Saccharomyces cerevisiae S288C: one gene and its partners. The protein of the gene in region 1 interacts with the protein of each later gene in a biochemical or structural test. Each region holds a gene or a part of one and is shown on either strand. Other genes may lie near its edges.

The links.
Region 2: the proteins of UBC1 (region 1) and APC11 form a complex in vitro, tested with the Saccharomyces cerevisiae proteins (3 studies listed by BioGRID).
Region 3: the proteins of UBC1 (region 1) and RSP5 form a complex in vitro, tested with the Saccharomyces cerevisiae proteins (10 studies listed by BioGRID).
Region 4: of the proteins of UBC1 (region 1) and UBA1, one has a biochemical effect on the other in vitro, tested with the Saccharomyces cerevisiae proteins (5 studies listed by BioGRID, with this or other methods).

The regions. Positions count from the first base shown.
Region 1 is NC_001136.10:810,834-818,037, forward strand, and holds UBC1 (E2 ubiquitin-conjugating protein UBC1), read left to right. Parts: upstream 1-6,044; coding exon 6,045-6,692; downstream 6,693-7,204. Other genes in the region: ARG82 (inositol polyphosphate multikinase), read right to left, coding at 1-799; HMO1 (Hmo1p), read left to right, coding at 1,277-2,017; mitochondrial 37S ribosomal protein mS35 RSM24, read right to left, coding at 2,360-3,319; histone acetyltransferase NGG1, read left to right, coding at 3,619-5,727; succinate dehydrogenase membrane anchor subunit SDH4, read left to right, coding at 7,117-7,204.
Region 2 is NC_001136.10:431,486-438,445, reverse strand, and holds APC11 (anaphase promoting complex subunit 11), read right to left. Parts: upstream 4,950-6,960; coding exon 4,452-4,949; downstream 1-4,451. Other genes in the region: proteasome regulatory particle base subunit RPT2, read right to left, coding at 1-399; YDL007C-A (uncharacterized protein), read left to right, coding at 1,622-1,879; YDL009C (uncharacterized protein), read left to right, coding at 5,198-5,521; glutathione-disulfide reductase GRX6, read right to left, coding at 5,421-6,116; YDL012C (uncharacterized protein), read left to right, coding at 6,929-6,960. UniProt on the Saccharomyces cerevisiae protein: Probably catalytic subunit of the anaphase promoting complex/cyclosome (APC/C), a cell cycle-regulated E3 ubiquitin-protein ligase complex that controls progression through mitosis and the G1 phase of the cell cycle.
Region 3 is NC_001137.3:405,643-414,945, reverse strand, and holds RSP5 (NEDD4 family E3 ubiquitin-protein ligase), read right to left. Parts: upstream 4,758-9,303; coding exon 2,328-4,757; downstream 1-2,327. Other genes in the region: small subunit rRNA maturation protein LCP5, read right to left, coding at 1-465; rRNA-processing protein NSA2, read left to right, coding at 767-1,552; DSE1 (Dse1p), read left to right, coding at 5,883-7,604; casein kinase YCK3, read right to left, coding at 8,559-9,303. UniProt on the Saccharomyces cerevisiae protein: E3 ubiquitin-protein ligase which accepts ubiquitin from an E2 ubiquitin-conjugating enzyme in the form of a thioester and then directly transfers the ubiquitin to targeted substrates.
Region 4 is NC_001143.9:35,415-45,358, reverse strand, and holds UBA1 (E1 ubiquitin-activating protein UBA1), read right to left. Parts: upstream 6,197-9,944; coding exon 3,122-6,196; downstream 1-3,121. Other genes in the region: ATP-binding cassette a-factor transporter STE6, read left to right, coding at 1-2,936; TRP3 (bifunctional anthranilate synthase/indole-3-glycerol-phosphate synthase), read left to right, coding at 7,206-8,660; phosphatidylinositol-3-phosphatase SAC1, read right to left, coding at 8,945-9,944.

The DNA of each region.
Region 1 (7,204 bases):
GGTCTCCTTCGTAAATAAACAAAAGACTACTTGATATCATTCTAACTTCTTCTTCTAGCATAGTATTATAAAACAACTGCAATCTTTTCAAAAATGTTTTCTTCAGTTGATGCTTTCTCGCATCCGACAGATGAGGATTGTTAAAATAAAGTTCAATTGCATCTGAAACATTTTGATCGGTTCTTGAACGACCATACAATTTGTTTATAAAGATATAATCACTGTCTGCTTCTTCTTCGTAATATTCGAGCGAAAGCTGATTCAGCACAGAGGGATTTTTCTGTATTTTCATGCCACATATCCTGAAACCCAAAGATCCTGAAGTCGTCGTCTCACTGACTCTTTTCATTCTCTCTCTTTTTTCCAATGATGCCTTCGAATCATACAAAGTTTTGCCTAATTTTATATCAAGTATATTAGGTTTACTAAATCCATATAGTAGATTTTCTAAAACGAGGTATTGCTTGGACTTCTCAGACTTTACAGGTATTGAATCAAGATTATCAGTGGAATCACTTAACCGCTCATCTATCTTCAGAAGCGCAGCATCGCCACTTTGCTCGATTTTTGCCCCTTCATTCAAGACTCCAAGATACGTGGGCATCCAAGAGCACAAGGGAGCATCTCCATCAGCCGAAGACTTTCTTCGACTCACATCTCTCACTTGTATGGCTTTGTAGAATTCCAGTTCCTGCGGAAAGGCCGGTTTAAAGATGAGCAATCCATCACCGTCTGTTAGAGTACCGTCGTGGCCAGCAGCTTTATGCTCTAAAACCCTATAATTGTTTACCGTATCCATGTGAAAAAAATTTCTACTTAGGCACACGTATGCACATATCCATGTAAGCTACTAATGGAAATTGTTTAACTGATTACTGGTAAAAAAGGGATCTCCAATGGCTTTATCTTATTCCATTTTGTCCCACCATTTGTATACAGTATAAAGACATTTTGGTGAGATACTTAGTTACCCAGCCTACTTCTGAGAAATATTACCCGACTCGATTATCTACCAATTGGCTTCGAGAACGTGGTTTTTCACCATTTTTTTTCCCGCTTTTTTTTTTCATCCGACCGTTGTGGCGGAGAGAAGCTTCCGGAAGGGAATTCACTCAGATTCTCTCCAGTACCACGGGGGGCAACTCTGCCTGGAACACTCTCTTCCTTCAAGAACTTAGCAAGAAGTACCAATTAGTCCCAGCGGGCCCTCAGGGCTGGTCTACTGCCTTATACTCTAGGATGTACATCCTACCACACACAACAAGCCTGTCACACCATGACTACAGATCCTTCTGTCAAATTGAAGTCCGCCAAAGACTCCCTCGTCTCCTCCCTCTTCGAGTTATCAAAAGCTGCTAATCAGACAGCCTCCTCTATTGTTGATTTCTACAATGCCATCGGCGACGATGAAGAAGAGAAGATAGAGGCTTTCACCACTTTGACTGAGTCTTTGCAAACATTGACTTCTGGTGTAAACCACTTGCACGGCATCAGCTCGGAGCTGGTTAACCCTATTGATGATGATAAAGATGCTATTATCGCTGCTCCAGTCAAGGCTGTAAGAAGAAAGATCGAACGTGATCCAAATGCTCCAAAGAAGCCACTGACTGTTTTCTTTGCTTACTCTGCGTACGTTCGTCAAGAACTTCGTGAAGACAGACAAAAGGCTGGCTTGCCACCTTTATCCTCAACTGAGATTACTCAAGAAATCTCCAAGAAATGGAAGGAATTGAGTGATAACGAAAAAGAAAAATGGAAGCAGGCTTACAACGTCGAGTTGGAGAATTACCAAAGAGAGAAATCCAAATACTTAGAAGCAAAGAAAAACGGTACCCTACCACCAGCTTCCTTGGAAAACGGTCCAACTCATGCGCCGGTTCCAATTCCTTTCAGTTTACAGCACGCCGCTGAACCTCCTGTGGAAAAGAGACCTCACGATGATGATGGATCTTCGGAAAAGAAGAAGAAGAAGAAGAAGAAGGATAAGAAGAAGGACAAATCCAACTCTTCTATTTGATGGACGGACAAACTCGTTACTATTACTCTACTGTCTTTCTAAAATAAATATAATAATAAAAAAAGGAATAAAATATAGCAGCATGGGCTTGCTTTGCCCATAGTGTATGCACATATATATATATATATATGTATCTATCCCTCTCCTCTTGTAACAGTATATCTTCCTTTTCATTTTCGTTGTGTATATGTATGTATATAGTTCTAAATTTGCGATTATACCTTTTCAAACCTCTCAATGTTGTATTGTGCTAAAACTATGTACATTTTAGAGAAAAAGAAGGAAGCAAAACAAATACATAATATATACAGGGGGGCCGTTCTTTTTGTTTTTGAACATGTATTAAAGAGTGCTCAATAATTGATCTACAATATCAAATTTCTTCTTTGGTGCATCTTCAGGGCGTTTCCAGTGTTCAGGAAACTCATAATCCCGCTTCTTTTTACGTAAACTCTTAGCTATAGTATGCCTTGTGTCAAGGGGAACATCGCTAAAATCGTCCTCCGTCAAATCTTTTGACTCCGCTAACAGCCTTTGAAGAATATCATGCAAATAACGTGCATTTTGTGATGCATGCTCAAATTTGTCACTAGACATTTTAAAAATATCTGTAGTATGATCATAACGCGACCTGGCTAATATTCTGAACTTATGTAATGATTTTTCCTCCAGGCCCAATTCCTTGGTTTTAACGCTTAATACAACCTTCCTCGAATTGGGATGCTCTTCGCCAACATAACTAGTGTATCTATAAGTGACCGGATGACTTTCTGGAGATGGTCTCTTGTATTCCTGGCGATATTGAGCTAATAGCGGTAACTCATATGCGGCTAATCGATTATAGAACCTTTGTTCACGATGTTGGGCAACCAATTCCTGAGCTTGCGATGGCAATTCATCAAACATAAACGGTCTAAGACTGTTATCGCGATTCACGTTTCCACCTTTTATATCAATAGCGCCTTGTTCTCCTCTGTGATATAGCTTTTTAATATCGTTAACAGGTACATTTGAGTACTCAGAAGTGGTTAATAAGGCATTCAGTTCGTCTTTGTTAGGTTTATACTCTGAACCCAATCTAGCCATTCTCTCCCAATATAACTCTAAAATTCTTTGAGGAGGTAAACCCTTCCATTTTTCGGGATGCATATAGAGATCTGCTGAAAAAGCTGGTCCTTCTCTCACAGTTTTAGCTTCATTACCAGCATCACTGTTCAAACATCTAGACATTGTCAAAACCCTTTTCTGGGTGCTCCACAAATTACCCCGAGAGACTTTCCATAACCCCAATGGTACTTTCATCTTCCTAAGAATAGTATTTTAGTAGTGTCAAATGTTTCGGTAACTCTACTGCCTTGTTCACAGATCGAAATATACTCAGAATCAGTTACAGAAAAGGTCCCATTTAGCGTAATTTCTTAGCGGAACTCATTAAAGAGCTCCGACGTGCAACGCGATAAAGGTTCGCCGACGACAACAAAACAATGGCAGGCAGTCATTAAATGAACGCCATCAAATGAAATATTCGTGGTAGCGATTACAATAAGGAAGTTGGAAAAACATAACAAAGACGGAGCGACGAGAAGTATTGGACAGGACATATGCCTAGACATGGAAGAAGAGGAAAACTGCCAAAAGGCGAGAAACTTCCTAAAAAGGAGGGAGGCGACAATACTCCGTCAAAGCTTTTATCGTCAATGCTTAAAACTTTAGATTTGACCTTCGAGCGTGATATTGGAATGCTCAATGGCAAAAGTGTTAGGTCCATACCCAATAAAAAAACTTTACTTGAATTGCAAAGTCAATTGGATAGTCTCAATGAAATACTGGGTACAATTGCCCGAGGTGATCAAGAGACCATTGAAGCGCTTCGGAAAATAAGAGACAGTAAAAATGAGAAGCAAGCAAACGATGAAAAGCAGGAAACTTCAAATGCAGACGGGCAGCACGAAAGTTCTACTGCTACTGAAGAAACGAATATAATTGATAAAGGGGTACAAAGCCCACCAAAACCTCCTCCTTCTAATGAAATCTCCGGCACAATTGAGAACGATGTAGAAAGCATCAAACAAGCGGCTGATAATATGGCTAAAGAAGAAATTAATGAAGACAAAGATTTACAAGTTCATAGAGATCAACCCAGAGAAAAGAGGCCGTTCGATTCTGAAACTGAAAATAGGGCCACTGAAAATGAAAACACACAGAGGCCAGACAATAAGAAGCAAAAAATTGACGTTGACAAAATGGAAAACGATCCAACTGTTAAAAATCCAAAATCAGAATTTGTAGTATCGCAAACGTTACCTCGAGCAGCAGCAGCACTCGGCTTATTCAATGAAGAGGGACTAGAAAGTACAGGAGAAGACTTCCTAAAAAAAAAATACAATGTAGCTAGTTATCCAACAAATGATTTGAAAGATCTGTTACCAGGTGAATTACCGGATATGGACTTTTCGCATCCTAAACCAACCAACCAAATTCAATTCAATACCTTTCTAGCATTTGTGGAAAATTTTTTCAAAGATCTTAGTGATGACAACTTAAAGTTTTTGAAGATGAAATATATTATACCCGATAGCTTGCAATTTGACAAAACTTATGACCCTGAGGTAAACCCGTTTATTATACCGAAACTAGGCCCTTTATACACAGATGTTTGGTTCAAAGATGAAAACGACAAAAATTCTGCCTATAAAAAACCTTCACCATATTCAAACGATGCATCTACTATACTACCAAAAAAAAGTGCCAACGAACTTGATGATAATGCTTTGGAATCGGGCAGTATATCGTGTGGGCCCTTATTATCTAGGCTGTTGAGTGCTGTATTAAAAGATGACAATGACAAATCAGAATTGCAATCTTCTAAAATAATACGGGATGGCGGACTACCGAGAACCGGAGGGGAAGACGATATACAATCGTTTAGAAACAACAACAATGATACTGTAGACATGACATTATCTCAGGAGAACGGGCCCAGTGTTCAAACACCTGACAATGACATTGATGAGGAAGCATCTTTCCAAGCAAAACTGGCAGAAAATAAAGGCAGTAATGGCGGTACTACAAGTACGTTACCCCAACAAATTGGGTGGATAACAAATGGAATTAACCTGGACTATCCAACATTCGAAGAACGATTGAAAAGAGAACTAAAGTATGTAGGGATATACATGAATTTGCCTAAGGATGAGAACAACCCTAACTCAGATGACCCCGATTGGGTCACCGGTAGAGAAGACGACGAAATAAGCGCAGAGTTAAGAGAATTGCAAGGCACTTTAAAACAAGTGACCAAGAAAAACCAAAAGAGGAAAGCCCAATTGATTCCACTAGTGGAAAGACAACTAGCATGGCAGGAATACTCATCTATTTTAGAAGATTTAGACAAACAAATCGACCAGGCTTATGTCAAACGTATTCGCGTACCCAAGAAAAGAAAGAAGCATCATACAGCAGCTTCAAATAATGTGAACACAGGAACCACGTCTCAAATAGCACAACAAAAGGCTGCAAACTCAAGTTTAAAATCCCTTCTGGATAAAAGGCAAAGGTGGATTAATAAGATTGGTCCATTGTTTGATAAACCTGAAATTATGAAGAGAATCCCCAATGAAAGCGTATTCAAGGACATGGACCAAGAAGAAGATGAGGATGAAGCCGATGTATTTGCACAAAACACTAATAAGGACGTGGAACTAAATTAAAATATACGAACTCTAAGGAAAAATACGTAGCATAATAACGCATATAACTAACAATTTGGATAACTATCCATAAAAAAAAAAAAATAGTCACATAATACGAACATTAATATCCTTTTTTGTTACATTTTCTTCCATCTGAAATATTTGGAGGGGCAAAAACAATGAGATGACAGTTGAATGCATGAACTTCCGATCGCGGGCGTATAGGTAAAGTCAATTGAAGCAAGTGTGACGACATAAGTATCGTAATTTAGTGGTTGGATACATTAAAAAAAACAAGTGGTATATATATAAGTAGTAGTAGTAAGAAGTAAGCGATGTCTAGGGCTAAGAGAATTATGAAAGAAATCCAAGCTGTGAAGGATGATCCTGCAGCTCACATTACTCTTGAATTTGTGAGTGAATCTGATATCCACCATTTAAAAGGCACATTTTTGGGCCCACCTGGAACACCTTACGAGGGTGGCAAATTTGTCGTGGATATCGAAGTACCTATGGAGTATCCATTCAAACCACCAAAGATGCAGTTCGACACAAAAGTATACCATCCAAATATATCATCAGTGACAGGTGCCATTTGTTTAGATATTCTTAAGAATGCATGGTCGCCAGTGATAACACTAAAGTCTGCATTGATTTCGCTACAGGCGCTACTACAATCTCCAGAGCCTAACGATCCTCAAGATGCAGAAGTAGCACAACACTATTTACGGGATAGAGAATCTTTTAATAAGACTGCTGCACTATGGACGAGGTTATACGCCAGTGAAACTTCCAATGGTCAAAAAGGCAATGTAGAGGAGTCTGATTTATATGGGATTGACCACGATCTGATTGACGAGTTTGAATCTCAAGGTTTTGAAAAGGACAAGATTGTGGAAGTGTTGAGACGATTAGGCGTCAAGTCCTTAGACCCCAATGACAACAACACAGCCAACCGTATCATCGAGGAATTGTTGAAGTGAATAGATAAAAAAAAAACGCACCAAGTAAGTAAGTAAATAAAGAATAAATAAACTATATGAGTAAAACACCAAGCGAGGATGTTTCATTGTGCATCCGTGTTCTTGATGATCACATAACTGTAAAAGAATAATACGGCACGTTAAATGTTATTTTAGAATATATAAACACCTTATGTGCCATAAGCATTGAGCCAATCGCTGCTGTTTTTTTTATTCCGGGGCACCTTCGGAAGAACACAGGCGCAATTTAGTTATATAAGGAGAAGCCCTCGAGCGATCAGGGGACCGACTGCGGATCGCTTTAAGGCAAAGATAGAAGGATAAATATCTGCTTTGGAAGATAGTCGTATCTAATTTCCCATTCTGTTGTTTTCTTGATCTTTCCTACGCTTTCGACTTTCTTCCTACGCGCTTTATAATAGCTATGATGTTGCCAAGATCCATGAAATTTATGACTGGAAGGAGAATTTTCCATACTGCCACAGTAAGGGCCTTCCAGTCTACCGCTAAGA
Region 2 (6,960 bases), 380 kb from region 1:
TAAGATAGATACATAATAATCAGGCATAGTTGGACTTGTCACTATCGCATGATCATCGTCTATAATTTCTTCAAGGGTCCCAATGCTCAATGGATTTCCACGTATTTCTTCCAATTGTTTCTTTTCCTCCTCCTGCTTCTTTTCAAAGGGTTTTAAAATTTCAGAGTTAGAGACAAATTCTTCTTCTAATAACAAATGGTCTTTAATTCGTTCCATCCTTAGAAGCTTTAACTTACAACGAGTACTTGGATATATGTTGGGTAATTTTTCAGCAGTAGCTGGACCTCCCTTTCTTTTCTTACGACCAAATTTAGATTGAACGGGAGGTTCATATTTGGGTTTCTGATTAGATCCCTTCTTCTTCTTTTTGTCTTGTCCAGATGATACACCTTGTCCCATTTTATTTTCTATTAAAAACGCTGTCTCTTCTTTAACTTGAATTGACTGTAAGCTTGACACTGATACGCATCATATTCACTAATATTCACATTAACCTTCTTTTAGGTAAAAGAAAAGAGACATTTGCCACCGGAGAAAAACCGTTAATAACTCGTTACCCGGAGTGATAAAAATATTGGGAATATAAAAATGACGACAACTGCAGGACTCGAACCTGCGCGGGCAAAGCCCAAAAGATTTCTAATCTTTCGCCTTAACCACTCGGCCAAGTTGCCTTACTAATGATGAATTATTGACTTAAGATATATCCCAAACCTAGGAATATGTAAACCTGCTGGAATATTATTTGTTAGAATAAAAATCAACTATTCTCTCTCAACTAGTAGTCTTACTACGAGTATATTATAATGTACAATGTTAGATGATGACATAAGGTATGAGAAACTGTCATAGAAGTTAGAGGAAGCTGTATTCTGTATACATAATATTATTGCCTTTATTAACAATGGAATTCCAACAATTATCACTTGTTGATAGTTAGAGGTAAAAAATAGTATTAATGAAGAAATAAGTATTGATCTTCTTATACTAAATAAGAGAGGTATATAAAACACACGCCGATTGGTCATATTAATCATGACCAATATAATAGTGATTCCGGTAGTTACTATACATTGATGTGACGACTCATATTCCTCATATATGTACCTACCATATCATGTTCAATTAATAGATCTTTAGCACAGCTTCAGTATTGTCTGAGCTTCTCGTTTAACATTCCTTCTGCAATAGGTGCAATCACACTTAAACGTATACGAGGTGTACATTAATATACGGTGTAAGCATTAGATTGTTACCATAGCAACTCATGTCACTATTAATTACTCTCGTTCCAACATCACTAAATTCCCGTAATTACCACCGCAAAAGAAAAAAGAATACAAGAAATGGAAAACTAGCGCATAATTTTGTTTCTTTCTTTTTCAAAGTTGCAGCCGCTACTATTGATTCGTTTGAAAATAGCACTTGGCGGCTAAACTACCGGCATAGAAAGTGGATCGGGCAAAATTAAAAGGGAAAGAGCGACGGGGTTACGGGACCATTACATAAAAAAAGTATCACAAAATCTATTGTATGCAAAGATATAAACCATCACATTATTGAAATAATATCGTTCTTGATACTTCCATAATCCAAGAAAAATATTTCAAGCACTTTCTTGATGTTCCTTCCTATAATTTTTCACACCATCCTAACCCTCCTGAACTTTGGTAAATATTACTGTTTACCTATTCAAGAAGACGATGATAAATCAGGAAAAGAAATTGAACAAATTTTAGACAATAACATCGAGTCATTAGGACTACTACTAAATTCGATGTCCTTATCCTCGAACTTTACGACAGGCGATCCTGAACTAGATTCGCTCTTCCAAGATGATTTAATCCCCGAGTTATATAGTGTATTAGATGGCTTCTAACACCAAGTATGTGTATTCTAAGGGTATACAAAATAAATACTGCGATACTATTCAATTCTTCAACAGCAGCTTACTAGATGTAAAATTAGTTACTTCAATTTATACTGTCACTTTTGCATATTTTCAATAGAATAAAATTACCGACGTCTGCCTATTTCTTCCATTGATGGATATATTTCTTTCTCTATCTCATTGCTTGTTACAACACCAAAAGTTTTGCTAAGAATGTGTATAGGAAACAAAAGCCAGAAGTCATTTCGTTCCAAGCCTTTAAGCGCCTAATAGTGAACTTTGCACCGCATACGTTAGCTTATGGTATGTGTGGTAATGTGTGAATTGTTTGTGATATGTAAAAAAAAAAAAAAAAAGGCCACGCTCAAGCACACAATGAAATAAAATTTAAATTTCGGGGCCATTCTACCGTTGGTTTTGCTATCTGCCGGAAAGAGGAAGTCCACAAGTGCCAAAAACTGTCAGTTACATTTTAAAAATAATCGAAATTTATTTTCTTTTGCTATCTCGGTTAAATATTGATGTGTGATTTGGCATAGTTGGCCATTGTCTTATGATTTCTGATTCTACGACGTTCCAATTTTTTATAATCAGTTCAATAATAATAATACATCGATCGGTCGGTCATATTCTTTTCTTTCTTTTTCTGTCAAGGCGTTACTGACGCGACACACAAGCGGCAGGTATAGTGACGTTTTCCGTTGAATGAAGTAATTCTAATGAACCTACGGTTCTCAATAGCATTGGCAGAGGCAGCTGATAAATGTACAGTAGTTTTTACCAGGAAATCCAGCGAGTATTACACATCCGTAGACGCGCTATGTTTTTCCTCAGGTTATCTTTCAGTAATGCTTGAGATCTCTAAAGGAAGTATACACAGTAATAGTGTGACCCAAAAGTTGTTAAAATTTCCGGAGGTAGCCATTATATACCAATTTTTGTATAAATTTACAGGATTAGAAGGTACCTAAAAAACTATAACATGTCAAGAAAGGCCTCTGAGAAGTGAAACAATACTTCCAAGCACAAATATATATTAATAGAATAATGACTGCTTGGTAGTTGAGAGATTACATGTATTGCATAGTGACTGAAAAAATTTAGTATAATTGCTATGTTGCTAGCACAGTGTTAGAATAGGGGCAGATCATTTGTATCATATAATGGGGTATGGAGAACAGGTACCAATTGGGCATATTGAATATTTCGAATATGATGTTATCTCCAAGAATGTACATCATGTCCATTGTGACATTTCATGGTTTTATATATGGGGTTTCTGCATTTTTCAACAAACATCTCTTTTATAAGCTTTGCGCTAGTTATGGTATTTATTTTTCAAATTAATAACTTACAAATAAACAAAACTTTCTCAACTAAATATTTATTTCTTCCCTGTAGACTGTAAAAATTTCGGAAGCAAAAATAAACCTCCCTGAATGTTAAAGGTGATTATTAGGTGAATAATTTGATAATTGTTGCAATTCCACTGTTTGTAAATTCTATAGTATTATGTATACAGAATACAGCTTCCTTTAACTTCGACGACAATTTCTCATAACCTTATGTCATCATCTAATACCGTACATGATAACACACTATAAGAATTGAGAAACAGTCATCAGATGAGATGGAAGCTGCAAATGCAAGCATTGAAAATATAATAAATAACGAATGATAACAAAAAATGTGGGGAAGAAAAAACAACATTACCATGTATGATTCTTGCTTCCCTCTTGTAGTATCCTCTATCTTGTAAGAGACGTTGTGATATACTGAATACCCAGTAATATTCCCGCTATCTAGAATGAAAATTGTTGGAATTGAACTCTAATATCATCTATTTAATATTATATTATCACATGCGGTGTAAGAAGATGACATAAAGATTGAGAAACAGTCATCCGATCTAATGGAAGCTGAAATGCAAGGATTGATAATGTAATAGGATAATGAATGACAACGCATAAAAGGAAAGAAGATAAAATAATAACATTATGTAGAACTATCGATTCCCTTTTGTGGATTCCTATATCCTCGAGGAGAACTTCTAGTATATTCTGTATACCAATATTATAGCCTTTAGCAACAATGGAATCCCAACAATTATCTAACAACTCACATATTTCTCAAAAATAACACAATTTTATGAAAGTTCACATAATTGAGTTAGAGCTTGAAATACTCTAACTTACAATCAAATGAACACAAATCAGAAGCTTCTATGGCCAAGTTGGTAAGGCGCCACACTAGTAATGTGGAGATCATCGGTTCAAATCCGATTGGAAGCATATTTTTATGTATTCTAAGTATGCAACGATACCGCTGTCATCGTTAGCATGATTAGTACACTGTTGTTCTTTTTCAATCTAACAACCTTAACTTCAGTTCCGGCTACAGTACATCTATTCAACGATTGGAAAAGAAAATTTTTTTATCTTTAGCTGCAACAAGAAAAAATCAATATTAAATTTTCATTTAAGTATACAGAATGTTAACAGCGTTCACAAGAAAAGAACCGTATGGAAATATAGCTAATTGTGATTTCTAAGTTTCTTTTTTATCGTAACAAAAAGTCTTCGTCCAGGATGGTATCAACTTGCTGTCTACCGATTGGGTTATCGGTGTTTTGCCTTATTGGTTCATCAAAGTCCACAAACTCTTCTGCGACGCCCTCCTCTATCATTTCTTCTCTTCTTCTTGAAACTATTTCAACGAACTTTTGGACATGAGCGTCATTAATTGCTAGACCCTTCTGTAGCTGGAAAGTTTGCCTACACATCGGACACAGTCCTTTTGAGGTTGGTGTATCAAGCCAACGGTATATACAATGATCATGGAAGTTATGATGACATAGCCCAATCACTAAAGGGCATTGATCGCCTGGAAATTTACAGCTTGGACAGGTACCGTTATAACTGGCACGACAGATACCACAGACATCCTCGTCTTCATCATTGCCAATTGGATCGTTATTGGCTGCGTCCTCATCAGATGTGCTAGGGATGTGCCATGACCAAGCAAACACACTGTGCACTTCGTTTATTTTAACTTTCATATTTTTATAATCTGTATTGCCACTTTGCTTGTTAAACTCTCCCGATATTGTACAAAGTTTTTGAAGAATGCATTATTTTTTTATCTGCAGACACGGAAGATACAAAAGTTATCTCGGCAGCTTACCCTTTATATCGAATGCAGGCGTAGACAAAAGTGCGTTGCATAACTTACCAAGGTGAAGTGCATGGACCAGCAAAGGATAGAAGTTATTGTAAACATCGAAACCATAAACTTATATATGTATATATGAAGGCATTAAGCGTTTTATGTTTTCACAACCCTTTTAAGAGATGTCTTGGACAAAAAAGCTTCTTCGTTGGTGATAGCTTCTTTATTCCAACTCCGAAACGCCTTGTGCTAGGAAAACTACGCCTTTCCAACTACACTGCATTTCACGACCTAATCATTCACGACCTCTTTATTTATATATTTATTCTTAATTTTTTCTTCTTTCCTTTTTGTAACAATTTCAATTATTGGAAGGTTTTTCACGTTGCTCAACCGAGAATTTACCATCACTCCAGACTTGTAATGATTCTAAAAGTTTCCCTTGAGTGTGCAGTTTCTTGATTTCTTCATTACCTCCTCTTGATACTCCATTAACCAAAAGGTTTGGAACAGTTCCTCTACCGGTCACCAACTTGATATATTCTTGCAGCTCTTCCCCATGTCCATGTTTGTCAAGTTCTATAATATAGTAGTTTGGGATAAACTGATACTCATTTTCAAGCAGTTCCTTCATGCCCTTGCTATATGAACAGGTGCTTTTACTAAATATTATAATCGGAGACAAGTCTAGTATGAGGGAGTATTCTTTTTGAACATTAAAAGCTTTGGTTATTCGCGACCCTTTATCGTTTTTAATGGCCGACAAACTATCATCAACCGATGCTATGGGCTGTTGGAGTCCCACCTTCTGTTTTATTTCATTAATTTCTTCGTCTACTTCAGAGCTCCCCTTATTCGTGGTAGAAGTCGGCATAGCAGCATATTCCCTGGAAGATCCTCCAGCCATATTGTCCATATTAGTACTAAATGCTTTAGAAGTTTCCTCTTTTATCTCTACCGTCAAGAAGTTCGCATTTTGCGCTACGAAAAACACTAACAACAATAATAGCGTTGTAATGCTTAAAATTCTAGCATTTCTCTTATTGGAAGGTATCATAATAAAATTGTTTCTATATTAAACCGCTAGGTTGCTAAGGTTTCGTCTTTTCTATCTTACGATAATTTGCTTAAAAGTTCATTTAGAGAATAGATAGTGATCTTTCCCAGTATAATGTTTTCCCGATTTCGCGAACGCTCCGCCTCAGGCGCCCCGGGACGCGTCATGCGCGTTCCAGAAAGTTAACTAACTGCTAGTGCATTCAATTTCTCAAGGCGTAGTATTTGGGATCTATAAAGCCTTCGACATTAAGCACTATGCTTAAAAGCGAACAGCCTGCGCCACTACTTAAGAGCGAATCTTGTGTGGAGGGATGACTAGGTCCAAAGAGGGAGAAAAGGATCTTGCGGAAAAGTCAACAACACTAATCGGTAGCTGAGTCTGTCAGTGCATCCTTACTGGCTTACTATTTTCATTCATGCTGCAAGTAGATTATCCTCTAGTTAAATTAAACGCGGATGAACTACGCCATTAAATCCATCATAAGAAACTAATTACTACTTTTAGGAAATTAGCCAACTAAAAACTGCTGAAACGCCACATTTCACATAAAACCCCACGGAGCAGTAATGGGAGATCTTAAGCTCAGCCCAGTACATATGTCCATCAGCCTTGAATAGCCACGGTGAGTTCTCGAAGCTTCCTTCCACCTAGTCCAGAATATTTCTTGGTAAATGGCTCGAAGTTTTCGTATTAAACGATGCTATCAGCGGCATCGTGAAATATTGAAATATAAAAAGTATTTACGCAACCGAAAAGGATATTAAGACAAACCCATACAATAGCCCATAAACCAAGCAAATACACATCTCATGTCAGCTCAAGATTATTACGGAAACTCTGC
Region 3 (9,303 bases), on another chromosome or scaffold:
GTCGTTGCCGCTATGATTCACTAAGGTAGATTTTTCCAGTGCACGCTTCTCAGCGTCTTTATATTCCTTTTCCATTTTCACATATGCTCTAGTCAGCTTGTCCAATTGGTAAGCCAACTTTTTTTCTAGTGGTTTAACACCACGCTCTAATACCACACGGTGTTGAATAGAGCGTTCACGTGCATCCATAGCAGAAGGATCTTTGCACTCGTCGTCTAGCCTATTGCCTATAAGCATCAATAGAGAATTTATGTACCCTAGCATGCTCCCATTTTTTAAGGATAGCAGCGATACTTTCTCAGCAGGCTTCTTAGCGTCGTAAAATAGATGCTCATGTAGTTGGTTACTTTCAGGAATCTCATCGGTCGCAGAATTACTATAAATCCCAGACAACCTCTCCAAGGATTCTGATGTCGCAGTGAGCGAGCCGTTGATATCTTTTAATAATGCATTAAGTTCAGACATTCTTGGATTTGTGTGTTAGTTGACAATTTTAATTTCTTCATCTCTTTTGACACTTTAGAATGGTATAGCTCATCGGTTTCTTTTCTTCAACCTTGCAGGAAAGGCGTAAAAAATTTTATGTCGTCGGCAACGGTTCTAGTAACAATCCGATGAAAAATTTTCCGGACAGCGATGAGATGCACTTTTAAGACAATTGAATGGATTAGGTATCAGTTAGAGAAGAACTTGGTTTTCGTATCTGGCGTTTTTATCTTTAGTCAGTAGTCAGTCTCGTATCAATACTGATATATACAACGAAACAATGCCTCAAAACGATTATATCGAGCGTCACATCAAACAGCATGGTAAAAGATTAGATCACGAAGAAAGGAAACGTAAGAGAGAGGCAAGAGAGTCTCATAAGATTTCTGAACGGGCCCAGAAGTTGACTGGTTGGAAGGGTAAGCAATTTGCTAAGAAGAGATATGCTGAAAAGGTATCAATGAGAAAGAAGATTAAGGCACATGAACAATCTAAGGTCAAGGGTTCATCCAAACCATTGGATACCGATGGTGATGCTTTGCCGACATATCTATTGGACAGAGAACAAAATAACACAGCCAAAGCTATTTCTTCATCGATCAAACAAAAGAGGTTGGAAAAAGCTGATAAGTTTTCAGTTCCGTTACCAAAGGTTCGTGGTATAAGTGAAGAAGAAATGTTCAAAGTTATTAAAACAGGTAAATCTAGATCCAAGTCATGGAAGAGAATGATAACGAAACACACTTTTGTGGGTGAAGGTTTCACTAGAAGACCAGTTAAAATGGAAAGAATCATCAGACCAAGTGCGTTGAGACAGAAAAAGGCAAACGTCACTCATCCGGAATTAGGTGTAACTGTCTTCTTGCCAATTTTGGCAGTTAAGAAGAATCCACAATCTCCAATGTACACTCAGTTAGGTGTTTTGACTAAAGGTACCATTATTGAAGTTAACGTTTCGGAATTGGGGATGGTTACTGCTGGTGGTAAAGTTGTCTGGGGTAAGTATGCTCAGGTCACAAACGAACCAGACAGAGACGGCTGTGTCAATGCGGTTTTGCTTGTATGAGCAAAAAAGTGCTCCGTTTTTTTTTTTTTTATCTCGATGGTTCAAATTAGGTTTACTTTTAATTTAATAATACGATATACGTCTACAAGCACAAAAGAACAGGTATATAAAAAATGTACGCTCTGTCCTGTTCGGGTTTCTCTTTTTACTTCTCGTCATTCTCTGTACAATATAACAAATCAAGAATTTATTATCCGGTTCTTTTTTCCTCACGACAAATAACCGATACTCTCCGTGTGTAGGTGACTGGCAAGAGAGGGATTGCCTAGTACGCTCGTTTCAAGTATGTACCTCACGAGAGCAATTTCAACTGTAGTATAATACCCAGGTCACTATTCAGTTTTAAAATGCAAGAAAATTAAAAAACAAAAAACGTATGGTTGTAAAAAGCAGGGCACATTATATGTATATAAATAAAAAAAAAAATTAATAAAATCTAAAAAGAGGATATAAAAAATAAGAGGCGTAAGGCAATATAAATTATTGGTATCATGCTCCTTTTGAAAAGGAAAACCTCCTCTTATGGCGAACTTGAAAAGAACTTTGCGTAATCATCAAAAAAAGCACTTCACGTTTTCCTGCATTTTCTTTGCTGCTTTCCATGTTGCTGTAAAAACAACAATGATTAATCATTTCATGAGCAACTCAGATAAAATTAACAAAAAAGAGTTTTCTCTTTACTATTGTTAGCTGAAATATAAAACAAGATGATTGAGGCAGAAAGAATGTTGGGAAAACGGACACCATAAATAAAAAAAAAATTGGTGCGGAATAATCATTCTTGACCAAACCCTATGGTTTCTTCCACGGCCAATGTTAGCTTCTGTTTCATGCTGTCATAATCAACGTATTGTGGCAAATCAACTCTGTTAAAACATGTGTGAGATTTTGGCAATTGTTGTACTTCACCAGCTTTTTCAATAGTGAATCTTCTTGGACCATCAGAGCCTTGCAAATCTTTAAACCCGTTGACAGGTATACGAGAAGTACCAGTGGTGAACTGCAATAAACGGGCTCTTTGTTCATTATCCCATTCACTGACACACTTCCAAAACCATTGAATGACCTCGTCTGACTCTTGGTAACCACGATAATCAGTGTGTTTCTTCCAATCTTCAATGTCAATTTCCGCAATACCACCGATCAATAGTTCTAGTTCACGCTCATCAAACACAGTTACTAAGTCTTCGGGGATTAATTCGTTAAAACCATCCATGAATGCCTTAAATTGTTCTTGAACTCTATCAACAATTCTCCATTGGGTATATAATTCGACATATTCTTTCTTATTACCATCAGTAACTTCAATATTTCTCCCATCTGGCTTCAAATCCACTGTTACAACTTCACCGAATCTTTCATCGTCGGCACTGAACGTCAGATCCAAGACACCATCTATACTATTCTCAAGCATCCAGTTTAATGAGTTATACACCTCTGCGTCAACACCTTCCATATCTTGCAATACGACTTTTTTACGTAGCATCATTTTGTAAAGTGCACCTACAAAGAATGCATCCAAAAATCTTCTATGGAAAACACCAAGACCCACAACTCTACCAATGAATTTGAAATAGTTCAAATGTTCGGGGTTGATGCCACTGTTAGGATTTATTTGAATGGTATAGTTGTCATACGCAGAATATTCAAACAAACAATAAAATGGATTAAACATCTCATGTGATAATAAAAAGAAAAATTCTCTGGAAACACCACCGTAATCTAAACCTTCCTCACCATCAAACTTGATCATTAATCTTTTCTTTAAATCTTCTGGGGTTTGTCTCATAATTTCTTGATAAGCATCCTCAAAAATGTTCTTTCTACGTACTTTAATATGACATTGTCCCGGCAATATTCTAAGAGCGGGCTGGGACCTGAAATAAATAACCTTACGTCTGAAGTCACGCTTGTATTGTGGAACATTTTGGTCTAGCGATGATGGAAGTCTTGGGTCATCCCAGGTCGTTGTTTTTGTATTGTGGTCAACGAAATATACACGTGCCGTATTGGTCAATCTCATTTCCCATCCAGAAGGCAAAGGACCTAATTGGGAGACCGGTTGTTGCTGAATGGTGGTATTTGTAGGGCCATAAGTACGTATATACTGTTGTCTCCTTGGATCCACCCAAGTGGTTGTTCTAGTATTATGGTCAACGAAATAAGCTCTTCCTTCTGGAGTAAATCGCTGCTCCCAGCCTGAAGGTAATTCGCCTAAACCAGATGTGGTACCACCTGTAGCTGCAAACGCTGCTGCTGCTGCACCATTAACAGGAGGTATATTGGAACCACCTCCCACTTGAACTGTTACAGAGGAATTATCTGATGATCCACCAGGTAAAGTTCTTCCCCTATGCTGCCTTCTCTCTAACTCAGTATTTGCATTTAATTGGTTGCCACGTTCGGCTTCTGTTTGATCGAGCGTTGGACGTTTCCAAGTGGTAGTCCTTGTGTTATGATCGACGTAATATGTACGACCAAAGTTATCGGTCCTTCTCTCCCAACCAGGGGGTAAACGACCATACTGGTCTTCAAACGAAGAGTATTGTCTGGTAGCACTGGATGTGGAATTGGTGGAACGGTGACTGGTTGTTGCCGTATTAGTAGCAGCTGTTGTACCGCTTTGAAGAGTTGATTCTACTGCTTGCGCGGTGCCTCTGGAAGGATGAGACGTTGAATGATTACGGGTGGAGGAAGTAGAATGACCATTTGTTCGAGTAGTTGAACTTGTATTCGTACTAGAAGATGCAGTATGGCCAGAAGGAGCTTGTGAATGCGGACTTGACGAAGGTAGTTTTGATAAAACAACAATCAACCTACCGCTGACGGCCATTCCGTCATTAGATTTTTTTAAATCACGAGTAATAGTTTCTTCGCGAGGTCTACCACTCGATGTAGCAGTATCTTCATCCAAATGGCCCAAAACATCACCCACGCGGACGTTAACCACGCCAAGAAACCCTTGATCCTTCTTTTTAAATTTCTTTTGATCAAAGACTTGGATGGTTAAAATAGAATTTTCATTGATATCGTCGAATTTGAAAGTCTCATTCCAGTAGGGATTTAACGTTTTCTTCGCTGCGGATGTAGATTTGGTTTGGTAACCATCAATAGTCAGAACAGCAAACGGATCCGGGGAACGGAATACGTCCCTCTTATATAATGACTCTGCAGCCACTAACTTGACGGATATGGATGAAGGCATTTTTTTTCTTTTTTCTTTCCTTTCTGTTACTTTAAATATAATACCCAAGCTAACAAAGAAAAGGGAATAAGAAAAGGGGAAAATAGTTTTTGGTAAATTTATCGAACTAAAAACGCACTAAGAAAAAGCTGTGGCTTATGAAAGTGAAAGTCGAATAACACTATATTCGGTAGTTCCAACTAAAAGGTACTTACACACAAAAACAAGCAATTATTTCCTGCTGTTTTATTTGCTACGCACTCACTCTTCTAAAGAAGGACTGAACTGAAATTTTGACTCACTTGCAAAATGTGCTTCACGAATTATAGTAACAAGTCCAAAACTGTGGAAAAAACTGACAGCGCTTATTATCTTATAATCGTTTTTGTTTAACGAAAAAGTCGACTCTTGTAGCTCTAACGAAGAAAATGGAAAACAGCCTCAAAACACAACAAAGTCCTTTTATCAATTAGCAGATGCGATACTCGAGTACCCTAAAAATGGTTAAGCGTATGTCTTTTAATTGTCGAGATAGAAGCCCCCTCCCCCGCCAGCAAAAAATATTACCTTTCACCATGAAGATCACTGCAATTTGGTCTTTACCAAAAATTTCCACTAAATTTTTGTTTTTTCCCCTTTCTCGTATAATGTCATTATGTACGTAAGATCACATGATCGTATACTGTCACGTGACTGTGCGGCTGGTCTGCGCCAGCAATTTTTTTTTTCTGCTCTCAAATGTAAACAAACCAGCAGTCTGTTTTCTAAACAAATAAACATTAAAAGGTAAACAATACCAAATAATAATAGCAGCGTCAAAGCTACATTCTCAGTTCTCAAAGCTATTGTGTTGATTTCTATGTATGATTCAATGCCGGCATGATGTTAAATTTGCTGGTTTACTGAATAAGGCTTGGTTCATAACCAATTTGTAGTCATGACGACATAGCTGGGTGGGTGCTTACTGGTTTACATAAATAAGTGCGTAAACGTTTTACAATATATAAAAAGGTAGAAATATCTCTCCCAAGCTTTCCTCAAACTATCTTTTGGCTTCTTCTTCTTGCATGACTTCCAAATTTTAATCTGTGTTTGCTAAAAAATTTGATTGTAGGTGTGATAGTGAGAGTGACACGTATTAATATTATGCAAGATACCAAATACTACGAACCAACAAATATTTTTCGTCAGCCTGCTATTAATATAAAGAAGAGATCAGATAAAAAGAGGATTTTACAATCGATGATGACTTTATCCACATACAAAAAAACGTGGCAAAACAATACTTCGAAAATGAATTCACCGATTTTGCGAAAAGCATCAGACAACTTCAATGACTATTATACAACTAAAAAATTAAAATCAGATTATTGGAAACTGTACGGTGTTGATGAAAGTGAGTTATCCATACCTTCAGACATGTCCATTGTGGATAATATACTTCTAGTATCTACAATGAACGAGAAAGACAACTTGAAACTTTTTGAAATTTCCGCTGAGAAAAAGCTGAAGGAACTACAGACGATTACTGTTCCCGGTAAACCCATTACTTGTATCTGCTTATTGCCCATGGTAGATTTTCCGCCACAGATTTTCCCCAGCTCTCAAATAAATCCTAACCACAACCAATTAATATTGACAGGTCATCAAGACGGTATAGTCAATCTGATAGCAACTTCAACATATAAGGGATGTGCTAAAATAATAAAAAGGTTTAACCACAACAAGTTTCTAAAATCTACCGTATCAACGTCGATTCCGATTCTGGAAATAACGCCAAAAACAGCACCTATTTTGAAGGTTTCGCCATGGAACAAGACCGGTTTTGTTTCCCTTCTAAATGACTCCCTCTTTATATATGACTTGAAATCAAATCTTGATTGCATAAAAACACCTATTTTTTTGCAATCATATCCAGGTATAAATTCTTTTGCCGTTAATGAATTCCATGATCCCTTCTTACTGGCCTTAGTTGGCTCAAAATTTGGACCAAATGGCATCTCGCTGCTTGATTTGAGAACAAATCTCTATATTCCAGATATTTTAGATAATAGCATATCTGCAGGATGTGGAAAAGACCATTTGCAAAGAAAGAACACAAGTTTGGATTGCGTATGGATAAGTAATCATCACGTTGCACAGAGCTTGAACGATAAAATTCAAATTTGGGACATTCAATCCTGCGACGGTAAACCAGTTTGTGAATTATATGCTAAGAAAGGATACATTGAAAGTCTAAAATTTAACGAAAACACAGGCGCGTTATATAGCAGTGATGACCAAGGCTTTGTCATTTGTTGGGATTTACAAAACCTACAAAACATGAAATATGGTGAGTTAGTCCATGGATTTAACTCAATTAGCCTAGATAGTGAAAGTGAACTACTATTAACCAAGCAAGTCTTCCAATGTGGAAACATTATTGTGAGTGGTATGAGTGATAAAAATATTTGCTTGAAGAGCAATGACACTAAGGCCAATGGAAAAGGATGTGGATTTTTATTCCTTGATATGGCAAACGATGGAAGTTTAGTAACTCTTGACAATTTTTGTGAACTGGGATTACATCAAATTTGTCAAGTTCAATTCAATGTCGATACCGGTAAAATAATCGATGGTAATGGTACTGGGAAGAGTGGAATATCTGATTCTTCTATGTTATCATTATCCAATGAGAGTGACCATAGTATGACAGAAACATCTGATGATATGTTCTCAAATTCTGGTAATTGGGATTGTTCTTCAGCAAATACTGTTAGCGAAGGTAGATTGAATGATGACCAAGAGGATATCGTCTTCACAAAGAGGATGTATTCTGTAAATGATGTGCATTTAAGTGGATCTACTATTGATACTACTGTTGTCTAGTTTCCTTGAGTGCTTTCAAATAAAAACAAATAACATATCAATGAATCAAAGTAACATTTCTTTGAAGATAATTTCTTTGTCTGTCACTCAGAATGCCCTTTATTACTAACGACCATCCTCCTTGATGAAGGTGAAAATCAATAAAATTCAAATTGTGACCCAAGTCCAGTCAGTGGATCCTTCTGGTAACACAAGTATTCGGTTTTTTTTTTTTCTCCATGATCTGTATGTTTTACTAAGCTTTGAATTTTTCTTACACAATGTATATATATATATATGTGTGTGTATATCAAAACAGCGCGCGTAATTGTATGTAGCATTTAGAATCAAGTTCAATGCCGAAATTTGTTATGGTTGCCTACGTTTTTTTGGCTTCTTAATTTAATATCAAAATCTTCACGATATGCATTCATTCTCAAGTTTGTAATTGTGCATTTTTTTATATATAGTCCCGCTCTCAAGTGAATTAGAAAAGTAAAGTATACACGCAAAACAAGGGCGTAAATAAAAGAAAACGAAAAAGCAACTAAATAAAAGCTTACATCCAAGTATCAAAGAAGTCGCTCACGGTTTCTCCAATTCTTGAACCTTGATTAATCATAAATTACATATTATTTTGGATATTCTTAAAAAAATGCTATAATAGTGCTTGAAGATAGATTTAGCACACCAAAAACATACCGGGATTAATATATATGTGCGTGTAGTCTTTTGATAAAGGAATATACAGAAGGAAAACGATTACGATGCTGACTATGTCTCATTTTCTTCTTTTTCCTGTTTCTTTACCCTCTCCGGAATTCAATTATTGTAGATGATAAAATAAAGGGTAACAGAGAGAAAGAGAAACAAAATAATACATTATTGGAAAGTCATAAATTGGGAAAGAGCGGCATAAGGAAACAGCCAATCAAAAAAAAAAAGGAAAAAGAGAAAAGTATAAAAATCGCTTTATCAACAGCAACAAAAACAGCAACAACAATATTTGTATATTTTAGAACAAAATGTATCATTCTCGTCATCAGAATAAGCATCATTTTCTTGTTCGTAATTTCGTTGACTTTGATAATTGATATTCTTATTTGCAAGGTTTGTGTAGTGGTTTGGTAAGTTGTGCTCATTATTACTTCTTTTAGGGTTAGCTTTAGAACTTGAATATGGTACAAATGGTGAATTTTGTGTATGACTGATGGAGTCGTACGTTTGACTTTGACTTTTAATTGGCCGTTGAAGATTTGAATGTGTTTCAGGAATATATTTACTATTGGGTTCGATTTTTTTCAAGACGTGTTGTTGTTTAGTAAAGCTCTGCGGGTTCGAAGAAATTCTGGATTTCGAATTGTCCTTGTTATAACTGTTTTGAGCTTGTTGCTTAGGTGTCGCAACTGGCGTTGTATTTCGTGTCTTTGAATTCGTATTCACATTGTTTCTTGCAGTATTGCCATTGACTCTTGGATTTGGATTTCCGTAACCATGCAAGTTAGCTCTTCTATTAATCTTGATATTCCAGCCTTTACCACCATTCAAATCCATCCAGTCATAGTGTCCATCATCCTTTAAGTCGTTTAATCTCAAAGCGTCATCCATTAACGAGATTAAATAGTCATAATCCGGATCTTCGTCGAACTTCAAGGAACGTGCATATTTTAAATATGTGGCAAACTGATAAGGAATAGCATTATTCAATAAAAGATCATCA
Region 4 (9,944 bases), on another chromosome or scaffold:
AAATAGTTGTTCTTCAAAAAGGCGGAGTGGCTATGGAAAAAATCATGACTCTATTAAAAGATGGATCCAAGCGAAATCCTTTAAATAAAACTGTAGCCCACCAATTTCCACTAGATTATGCCACCAGTGATCTAACATTTGCTAATGTTTCGTTTTCTTATCCAAGCAGACCTTCGGAAGCAGTTTTAAAGAACGTTAGTTTAAATTTCTCTGCAGGACAATTTACTTTCATAGTAGGAAAATCAGGCTCAGGTAAATCTACATTATCCAACTTATTATTAAGGTTCTACGATGGCTATAATGGATCGATATCTATCAATGGCCACAATATCCAAACAATCGACCAAAAATTGCTAATTGAAAATATCACCGTCGTAGAACAGCGTTGTACCCTATTTAATGATACTCTTAGAAAAAATATTCTTTTAGGTTCAACAGATTCGGTAAGAAATGCCGATTGCAGCACCAATGAAAATAGACATTTAATCAAAGATGCCTGTCAAATGGCTCTTCTGGATAGATTTATTCTAGACCTTCCCGATGGACTGGAAACATTAATTGGGACTGGGGGTGTCACACTAAGTGGCGGGCAACAACAAAGAGTTGCTATAGCACGTGCATTCATCAGAGATACTCCAATATTATTCTTAGACGAAGCTGTATCGGCTCTAGATATTGTTCATCGCAACCTGTTGATGAAGGCAATTAGGCATTGGAGGAAAGGAAAGACTACAATCATATTGACGCATGAGTTGAGCCAAATTGAATCTGATGACTATTTATATTTAATGAAGGAAGGTGAAGTTGTTGAAAGCGGCACCCAGTCTGAACTTCTAGCCGATCCGACCACTACATTTAGCACATGGTATCACCTACAGAATGACTACTCTGATGCGAAAACTATTGTAGATACAGAGACTGAAGAAAAATCTATACACACTGTGGAAAGTTTTAACTCTCAATTGGAAACACCAAAACTTGGATCATGCTTAAGTAATCTGGGATATGATGAGACAGATCAGTTGTCCTTTTACGAAGCAATCTATCAAAAAAGATCGAACGTTAGAACAAGAAGGGTTAAAGTTGAAGAGGAAAATATTGGGTATGCACTAAAACAACAAAAGAACACCGAAAGTTCAACAGGGCCACAACTTCTGAGCATTATTCAGATTATCAAAAGAATGATTAAAAGCATAAGATACAAAAAAATTCTAATCTTGGGACTGCTATGTTCTCTTATCGCAGGCGCCACAAATCCCGTCTTTTCATACACATTCAGTTTCTTACTAGAAGGAATTGTCCCATCCACGGATGGAAAAACTGGCTCTTCACATTATTTGGCGAAATGGTCGCTTCTTGTTCTTGGTGTGGCTGCGGCAGATGGTATTTTCAATTTTGCTAAAGGATTCCTATTAGATTGCTGCAGTGAATACTGGGTTATGGATCTTAGAAATGAAGTTATGGAAAAACTGACGAGAAAGAATATGGACTGGTTTTCTGGTGAAAACAACAAGGCTTCTGAAATTTCTGCTCTAGTCTTGAATGATTTGCGAGATTTGAGGTCTTTGGTCTCTGAATTTTTGAGTGCAATGACTAGTTTCGTTACCGTATCAACGATTGGACTAATTTGGGCGTTAGTATCGGGCTGGAAGTTAAGTTTGGTTTGTATTTCGATGTTTCCACTCATAATTATATTTTCAGCAATATATGGAGGCATTTTACAAAAATGCGAAACAGATTATAAGACATCTGTTGCTCAGTTAGAAAACTGCCTGTACCAGATTGTCACTAACATTAAAACCATTAAGTGCTTACAAGCTGAATTTCATTTTCAATTGACCTACCATGACTTGAAGATAAAAATGCAACAAATTGCCTCCAAACGCGCCATTGCCACAGGATTTGGTATATCTATGACAAACATGATTGTCATGTGTATCCAAGCTATTATTTACTACTATGGCCTAAAGCTGGTTATGATTCACGAGTACACCTCAAAGGAAATGTTTACGACTTTCACTTTGTTATTATTCACTATTATGTCATGCACTAGCCTAGTAAGTCAGATACCCGATATAAGTAGAGGCCAACGTGCTGCCAGTTGGATCTATAGGATTCTTGATGAAAAGCATAATACCCTAGAGGTTGAAAACAATAATGCTAGAACAGTGGGAATAGCTGGTCACACCTACCATGGCAAAGAAAAAAAACCAATCGTTTCAATTCAAAATTTGACATTTGCCTATCCATCTGCACCTACCGCCTTTGTTTACAAAAACATGAATTTTGACATGTTTTGCGGACAGACGTTAGGTATCATTGGTGAATCAGGCACAGGAAAGTCTACACTTGTGCTTTTATTAACAAAACTTTATAATTGTGAAGTAGGCAAAATTAAAATAGACGGTACGGACGTAAATGACTGGAATTTGACAAGTTTAAGAAAAGAAATTTCAGTGGTTGAGCAAAAACCTTTATTATTCAATGGAACCATCAGAGATAACCTAACTTATGGTTTACAAGATGAAATACTTGAAATTGAAATGTATGATGCATTAAAATACGTAGGAATCCATGACTTTGTAATTTCATCACCTCAGGGCTTGGATACACGTATTGATACAACTTTACTGTCAGGTGGACAAGCGCAAAGGCTTTGCATAGCCAGAGCACTTCTGAGAAAATCAAAAATTCTGATTTTAGATGAGTGTACTTCAGCCTTGGATTCTGTCAGCTCCTCTATCATCAATGAGATCGTCAAAAAAGGTCCACCTGCTCTACTAACAATGGTTATAACGCATAGTGAACAAATGATGAGGTCTTGTAACTCGATTGCAGTTCTTAAAGATGGTAAAGTGGTTGAGCGAGGTAACTTCGACACTTTATATAATAATCGCGGGGAATTATTCCAAATTGTTTCCAACCAAAGCAGTTAAACCCAAAGAAAATATAAAACAAAAAACTAAAACATACTCAAATATTCGAGACTACATTAATAATAATAATAATAATAATAATAATAAGTTTTTACCAAAGAAAAAGTTGTCAAAAGTCATACATATATATATACATATTTAATGTATATATTTAATTTATTTTTTTATTTTGGTTAATTAGTTACTCATAGATGAATGGTAATGAAAGGAACTTCAACATCCTCTCCTTCCTTGTCATCTGCGCAAATTTCGAGAATCATTGTAGATACATGTGCCGGAATATCTTTCTTAGTCACTAATTTAACCAATTGAGTTATTGGTAGATTTAGTCTTTCTTTCAATTTCTTTGGAGGGAAAAATGAGGCATAAAGAAGAGAAACGCCATAAGAAAGCATTGTTATTTCTAACCCTTCATCTTTTTCAAAATGTTCAATTAAATCACTTAATTTAATATCTCCCTTGATATCAAATCTATCCCAAATTTTATCATATTTCTTGTTGTTATATTCTCCCTTTGGTGAAGCAATTGGTTCCGAAAAACCGAAAAATGGCAAAGCTAAATTAACAAAGCCATTCTTATATTGCTCAATATCTGTCTTGTTGTCAATCAGTTTATATAATTCCAAATTGACCAAACCAGTAACCAAAGAAGTGGTTGTTGCGATGGCAGGAATAATACGGCCAGCTATGAATTTGGTCTTTTGGCGATCAGCAGTTTCGATGAAGTAGTTTTGAGCTCTACAGTTAGAACAAGCCGTTATAAATTCAATATGATGATTAGTGTCATCGTCTTTCTCGAAATCTACAGGCTCCAGTTTAAAGCCAGCCAAAGTAGAAGGATCTGGTAGGGATGATACCAGCTGATCAATTTCATCTGAGCCATTAGCCGCGTTGGCATTTGGATCCGGATCATCGTCATTAACTTGAATTTTCAAATTGGCATTTGGAGTAAATTCTGGAATTATCATATGATCGATGACGGACTTATACTCGTCCACGTTGGGTTTAGAATTAGAGTCATCACTTTTAATACCATAATTATAAGCGCGTAAACTAGCACCTGCTACGACAAAATGGAAGTGATCGTTATTGTAAATATCAAACTCTAATGGTGTTGGAGCACGCTTAGCACCGGACCAAAATGGTTCACCGTTGGAAGTCTTGGCATCCTTGGGGAAGTTGAACAGTAACTGCTTGATATCATGGTTGAATTTTTTTTCAAATTCTAACCTTGCCCATTTGATACAATCTTCAAAATTGTGTGGTTTACTAGATAGAGAATCTGAGATGGATTCTAGAACTCCCTTGACATCCCCGCTTTGCTTTAGTGTTTGCTCAACGAAATTCGGTTGTGTCAAGTACATATTAACGTTTTCGGCGGAATCAGTGAAGTAACCTTGGAAAAGAGATTTGGCCCAGGCAATGGTGTGATCAATCTTGTTTGGGAAAGAACGTAGGGTACACAATGGGATAGACTTTTCTGGTGGGTCTCTAGAAGAAGAGTATGATTCAGTCAATCTTGGAATGATGACTTGAGTATTACCTTTAGTACCTAGGGTACCAGATTCTAACAGTGGTTTTCTATAAAACACACAACGGCGATCTACGTATGTTCTTGCGTCGACATTGTCTAGAGCGTTGGTGACAAAATCCAGGCTTTCCCAAAAGGAGTCATTAAATATTTCCTCAGTTTCTGGCCCCACTTTATCAATTTTAGCATTTATCTTGCCCTTCAAATCGGGGTTCATAGCACAAACGGCCTCTGCCGCTACTTCAGATTTGTTCTTTCCGACATCCTTTGGTCTAAACAAGAACTGACGGTTTAAGTTGGACTTTTCGATCGAATCGTTATCCGTAACAACGATGTAACCGTCGGAGCCAGAACCAAGCCCCAAAAGTGCCCAATTTTTCAACATCTCACAACCAATGGCACCAGATCCGACAAGAAAGACCTTTGAATTGGCAATCTTTTTCTGAAAATCCAAACCGAAAACCGCGATTTGATTATCGTAACGAGAGTTTACTGGCTGAGTAGTCTTCTCATTTCTTGGGAAGTTTTTAGGATCTGGCAATGATTCCAAGGAATCAAAGTACATAAATTGCTTTAGCGGAGTAAATTTACCAGAACATGCTTTTAACACTTCTTGTGCCACAAGGCCACCGAAAAATGCTACGACACCCGGTATGTCACCTCTTGCCTGATAGGAAAGCTCTTTGATTAAATCTTCATTAACATCTACACCTTCACCCAGAACCTCCGGTTGCTGAACGGACAAATCGGTGACCAACTTGATTAATTCATTGGCGTCTTCGTCATTCATTGTTCTTGGCAGTTCACCATTATGTCTAACGGCAAACTGATGTAAAGCCTGAAATCCCAAATGCAATTGAGCAGCTCTGTCAAATTTAGCAAAATCCGAAAAAACAAACTCAGGATTGGACAGTTGTTGTTTCAAAGACTTGAATGAGATTTTACGGGGTACTTTGACTTCGGTGAAGATACCGCCCTTCTTATACTCGCCATATTCTTTGACTGAACCAATTCTGAATGCAAAGGGCCCCAAAACCTCAACTTTAAAAAGGGTCCCATCATTCAACTTATCAAGACCTTCTACTTCGGAGAACCTGACAAAATTTCCGTCTTCCAACCCGTGTCTGTTATCATCTAGCATGGTCACTGTTCCATCGGGCTCGATGTCTGAAACCATACCAGTGCGAGGTTCTTCACCCGTTGGGTCCAACACTGTGAACTCGTCACCTAGGTCTACGAAGGTGTTACCAAACAGCCCTCTTGTCTCCGAGGAAATGAATCTAATACCGGAGGAATGGCAAAATTCGTTGATTTTCACCTTATCTTCCAAAGAAACAGTGTCCGTAGCGACAACGACCTGGAATTGACTCAATTGGGTAACATCGTCTAAGGAATCCAGCACATTAACCGGGACATATGCGTTCAACTCTGCCAATTTGGCTCTGGTCACATCTCCTCTCTTTTGACCAATATCCTTTTCGGTCAAAAAGAATTGGGTTGATAAGTCTGCCAATTGAACCGGCTCAGGGTCAAAAACGGTCATAGATTTGACACCTGCCAACACAACGTTCTTCGCTATCTCAACACCTAGCCCCTTCAAGCCGAGAATTAATACGTTGGAGGTTTGCATTTTCAACATTGCTTCCTTACCCAACACATAAAGTTGACGAGAATAAAGACTTTCATCGATTTCTCCGGCGGCAGAGAGACCACTATTATTGCTGCTCATAGCTATAGTTATATGTTCTTTGCTTTGCTACTAATCTTACTTTTTGTTTGCTTATATCCAGCGATTGGCGGTTGCTCATCCTACTTAAAGGCCCTTTTTGATCATTTTCTTTTACCTTTATTTGCCACCCGCACCTTTTGTCACACTACACGAGAATATGCCGCATGGAAGCGTAATGGCAATTCAAGAAAGAGCTCTAATATTATTTACAATCACATGAATACAAGATCATAGCTTAACAAGGAGTGGATAGTCAGTAAAGGCGCCCTAAGCTCTACTAAAAACTGGGCTTTAAAAGATGTTCCTCGTCACTTGAGAATCTGTTGTCCCTATCTGGTTCCTCATCATACAATCCACTCCATCGTTTCTCCCACCCTACTACAAACTAGTGAGGCGAACGAGAAAATAAGAAACACTAAGGCTCGCTTTTCCTGCTGGACAGAGACATGCATTAGTGTTTGTTGTTCTCGCGCCAGTCGCTGTTTTTGCTTGCAAGTGCGACGTCCTCTTCTTCTTCTTCTTCTTTCTTCTTTGAGATGCGTAACAACACAACTACATTTTGTATTTTCCTCCCTTTTATACTCCTCCGCTGGAGTATTTTTTCGTATTTTTCACTTTTTTTGCTTCTTATAGGCCTTTTTGAACTATTTTCTGTTAGGGCTTAAAGAAAGCGCAGCAAATGGCTGATTTTAAATGCTGTTTTCTCGAAAGCAATGCTGATGATGTACCACAAAGTAGTATTTGCGCTTAGCTTGTCGATATAAGTATGCCTTTGAGCCAGTATTAAACTTCCTACTATCTCTTCTGGACCTCACCGTGCTATTCATATCACTGACGACGGAAAATGCCTCTTGTAGTAATCATTGAATGATCATCAATGGCTCGTTGACTCATTCTAATCTATAGCAGATATTAAGGTACGCAAAAAGTTCGACAAGGAGCTGGTCAGTATTAACACATTACCAAATCTGTTTGGTTCTACATAGAACGCCATAAAAGTAAGAAAAAAATGTCTGTGCACGCTGCAACAAACCCAATCAATAAGCATGTGGTTCTAATTGACAACTACGATTCCTTTACCTGGAACGTTTACGAGTACTTGTGCCAGGAGGGCGCCAAAGTGAGCGTCTACCGTAACGATGCAATTACAGTTCCAGAAATTGCCGCCTTGAATCCCGACACATTGCTTATCTCGCCTGGACCAGGCCACCCAAAGACAGATTCTGGCATTTCAAGAGACTGTATCCGGTACTTTACTGGGAAAATTCCTGTATTTGGAATCTGTATGGGCCAGCAATGCATGTTTGACGTATTTGGTGGTGAAGTTGCCTACGCTGGTGAGATTGTCCACGGTAAAACGTCCCCAATCTCTCACGACAACTGTGGAATTTTCAAGAACGTGCCGCAAGGTATTGCTGTGACAAGATACCATTCATTGGCCGGGACAGAATCGTCCCTACCATCCTGCTTGAAGGTTACTGCGAGTACCGAAAATGGAATTATCATGGGTGTAAGACACAAGAAGTACACTGTAGAAGGTGTGCAATTTCATCCGGAATCCATCTTGACCGAGGAAGGTCATCTGATGATCAGGAACATTTTAAACGTCAGTGGAGGCACTTGGGAGGAAAACAAATCATCTCCTTCAAATTCTATTTTGGACCGTATCTATGCTCGGCGTAAAATAGACGTCAATGAGCAGTCTAAAATCCCAGGTTTCACCTTTCAAGACTTACAATCTAACTATGATTTAGGTCTTGCCCCACCGTTACAGGATTTCTACACGGTGTTGTCATCATCCCATAAAAGAGCCGTTGTTCTTGCTGAAGTCAAGCGTGCCTCTCCATCGAAGGGACCCATTTGTTTAAAAGCTGTTGCTGCTGAACAGGCTCTCAAATACGCAGAGGCTGGTGCATCCGCAATTTCCGTATTGACCGAACCTCATTGGTTTCACGGTTCGTTACAGGATTTAGTAAATGTGAGGAAAATCCTAGATTTGAAATTTCCTCCCAAGGAGAGGCCTTGTGTTTTGAGAAAAGAATTTATTTTCAGCAAGTATCAAATACTAGAAGCAAGATTAGCTGGAGCTGACACTGTCCTTCTTATAGTCAAGATGCTATCTCAACCCTTATTGAAGGAACTGTACAGCTACAGTAAAGATTTGAACATGGAACCTCTCGTTGAGGTGAACTCCAAAGAGGAATTACAAAGGGCTCTAGAAATTGGTGCTAAAGTTGTAGGTGTCAATAATAGGGACCTGCATTCATTCAACGTAGACCTAAATACCACCAGTAACTTGGTAGAATCTATTCCAAAGGATGTTCTTCTAATTGCTCTATCGGGAATTACCACCAGGGACGATGCTGAAAAATACAAAAAAGAAGGTGTCCATGGATTTTTAGTGGGTGAAGCCCTAATGAAATCAACCGATGTGAAGAAGTTCATTCATGAATTATGCGAATAATTGAAACTTACACGGTACAATAGGGAAAAAAACTTAACGTTGTAAGGGCGAACGCCTTCATGTATAGTAGCCTATAGAAGATATATATATATATATATATATATATATATGACCATGAAAGATAAAGTAAAAAAGAAAATAAATAGCTTGTTCTTCCCTCTGGGGCCGGCGTTCATTTTTTTATTTTTTTATTTTTTAACTTACTTTTTTTCTCGTTTTTATCATATTTTCGGTTTTACGTTTTGGATTTACAATAATCATCATTTTATCACATATAGAACTCATTAATCTCTTTTTAAAGGATCCGGCTTGGAAAATTTAGGACTCTGTGCATATTTCAAACCTTTGAATTGTTGTTCTTTATCATGCGTTTGATGAACGACCAAGAACCCAACGTCTACTAACTTAGGCCAGTTGACAAACTGAATACCGTTCTTAAACATGAATTTGGTTGAAAGCGCCAAGACAATCGACGCACCTGCAAAATACAGCAAATTCTTACTGCTGGTAAATCTATCTTTAGGAAAAAATATCGTAGCACCTAAAACGGTCAAGGCTGCGCAAATGATCATTGGGATCAGCTGAATATACACTGGTCTTCTGTCGGGGAATGGCGACTTGATAGAAGCGGTATGTGGTCTAAATCCACCAAGGAATAAATCGTATGAATCCTGTCTTGGACCATCAGTCCAATTGTTCTGGTAATAACGTGATGCTGAATTCAAAAAATCGTTGAATGCACCTAGACGTGTACGCTTACCGGTTCTTGTGAAATCGGTCTTCAAAGCTCCAGTGCCCGAATATGCCACACTAACTGCATCTGCATTATCAGCCCATAAGTTTTGGTAAGAAGTTAACAATGGAGCGTTGTCTTCCCAAGTGCTTCCAGTAGCAACGACATCGGCACTTTCAAACTCCTTTTGCAAAACCCACTGGGCTAAAACAGATTGAACGACATTTGTTCTGTCCAAACAATCCATACAGTTTGTTCTTACAACGGAATGTTGCTCATTAACAATTTCAACGGTGTTACCATTAGAGTCTATGACCTTGTGGAAGAAATCTTCGTTAGATAAACCTAATTTCTCCAGGTGATCAATTAACAATTTCACTCTATGCCATTGCATCTTACGACATTCATGGTGGAAGTCAAAATACACGTAGTGAATCTTCGGATCGTTTAGCGCGTGCACGACTGATTCATAGCCCTCTTTCACGGGTAGTTCGTGGCCCTTTTGGTTGACTAGGTTAACCAAGTAGTTGTCGCCATATAACTCCTTTTGC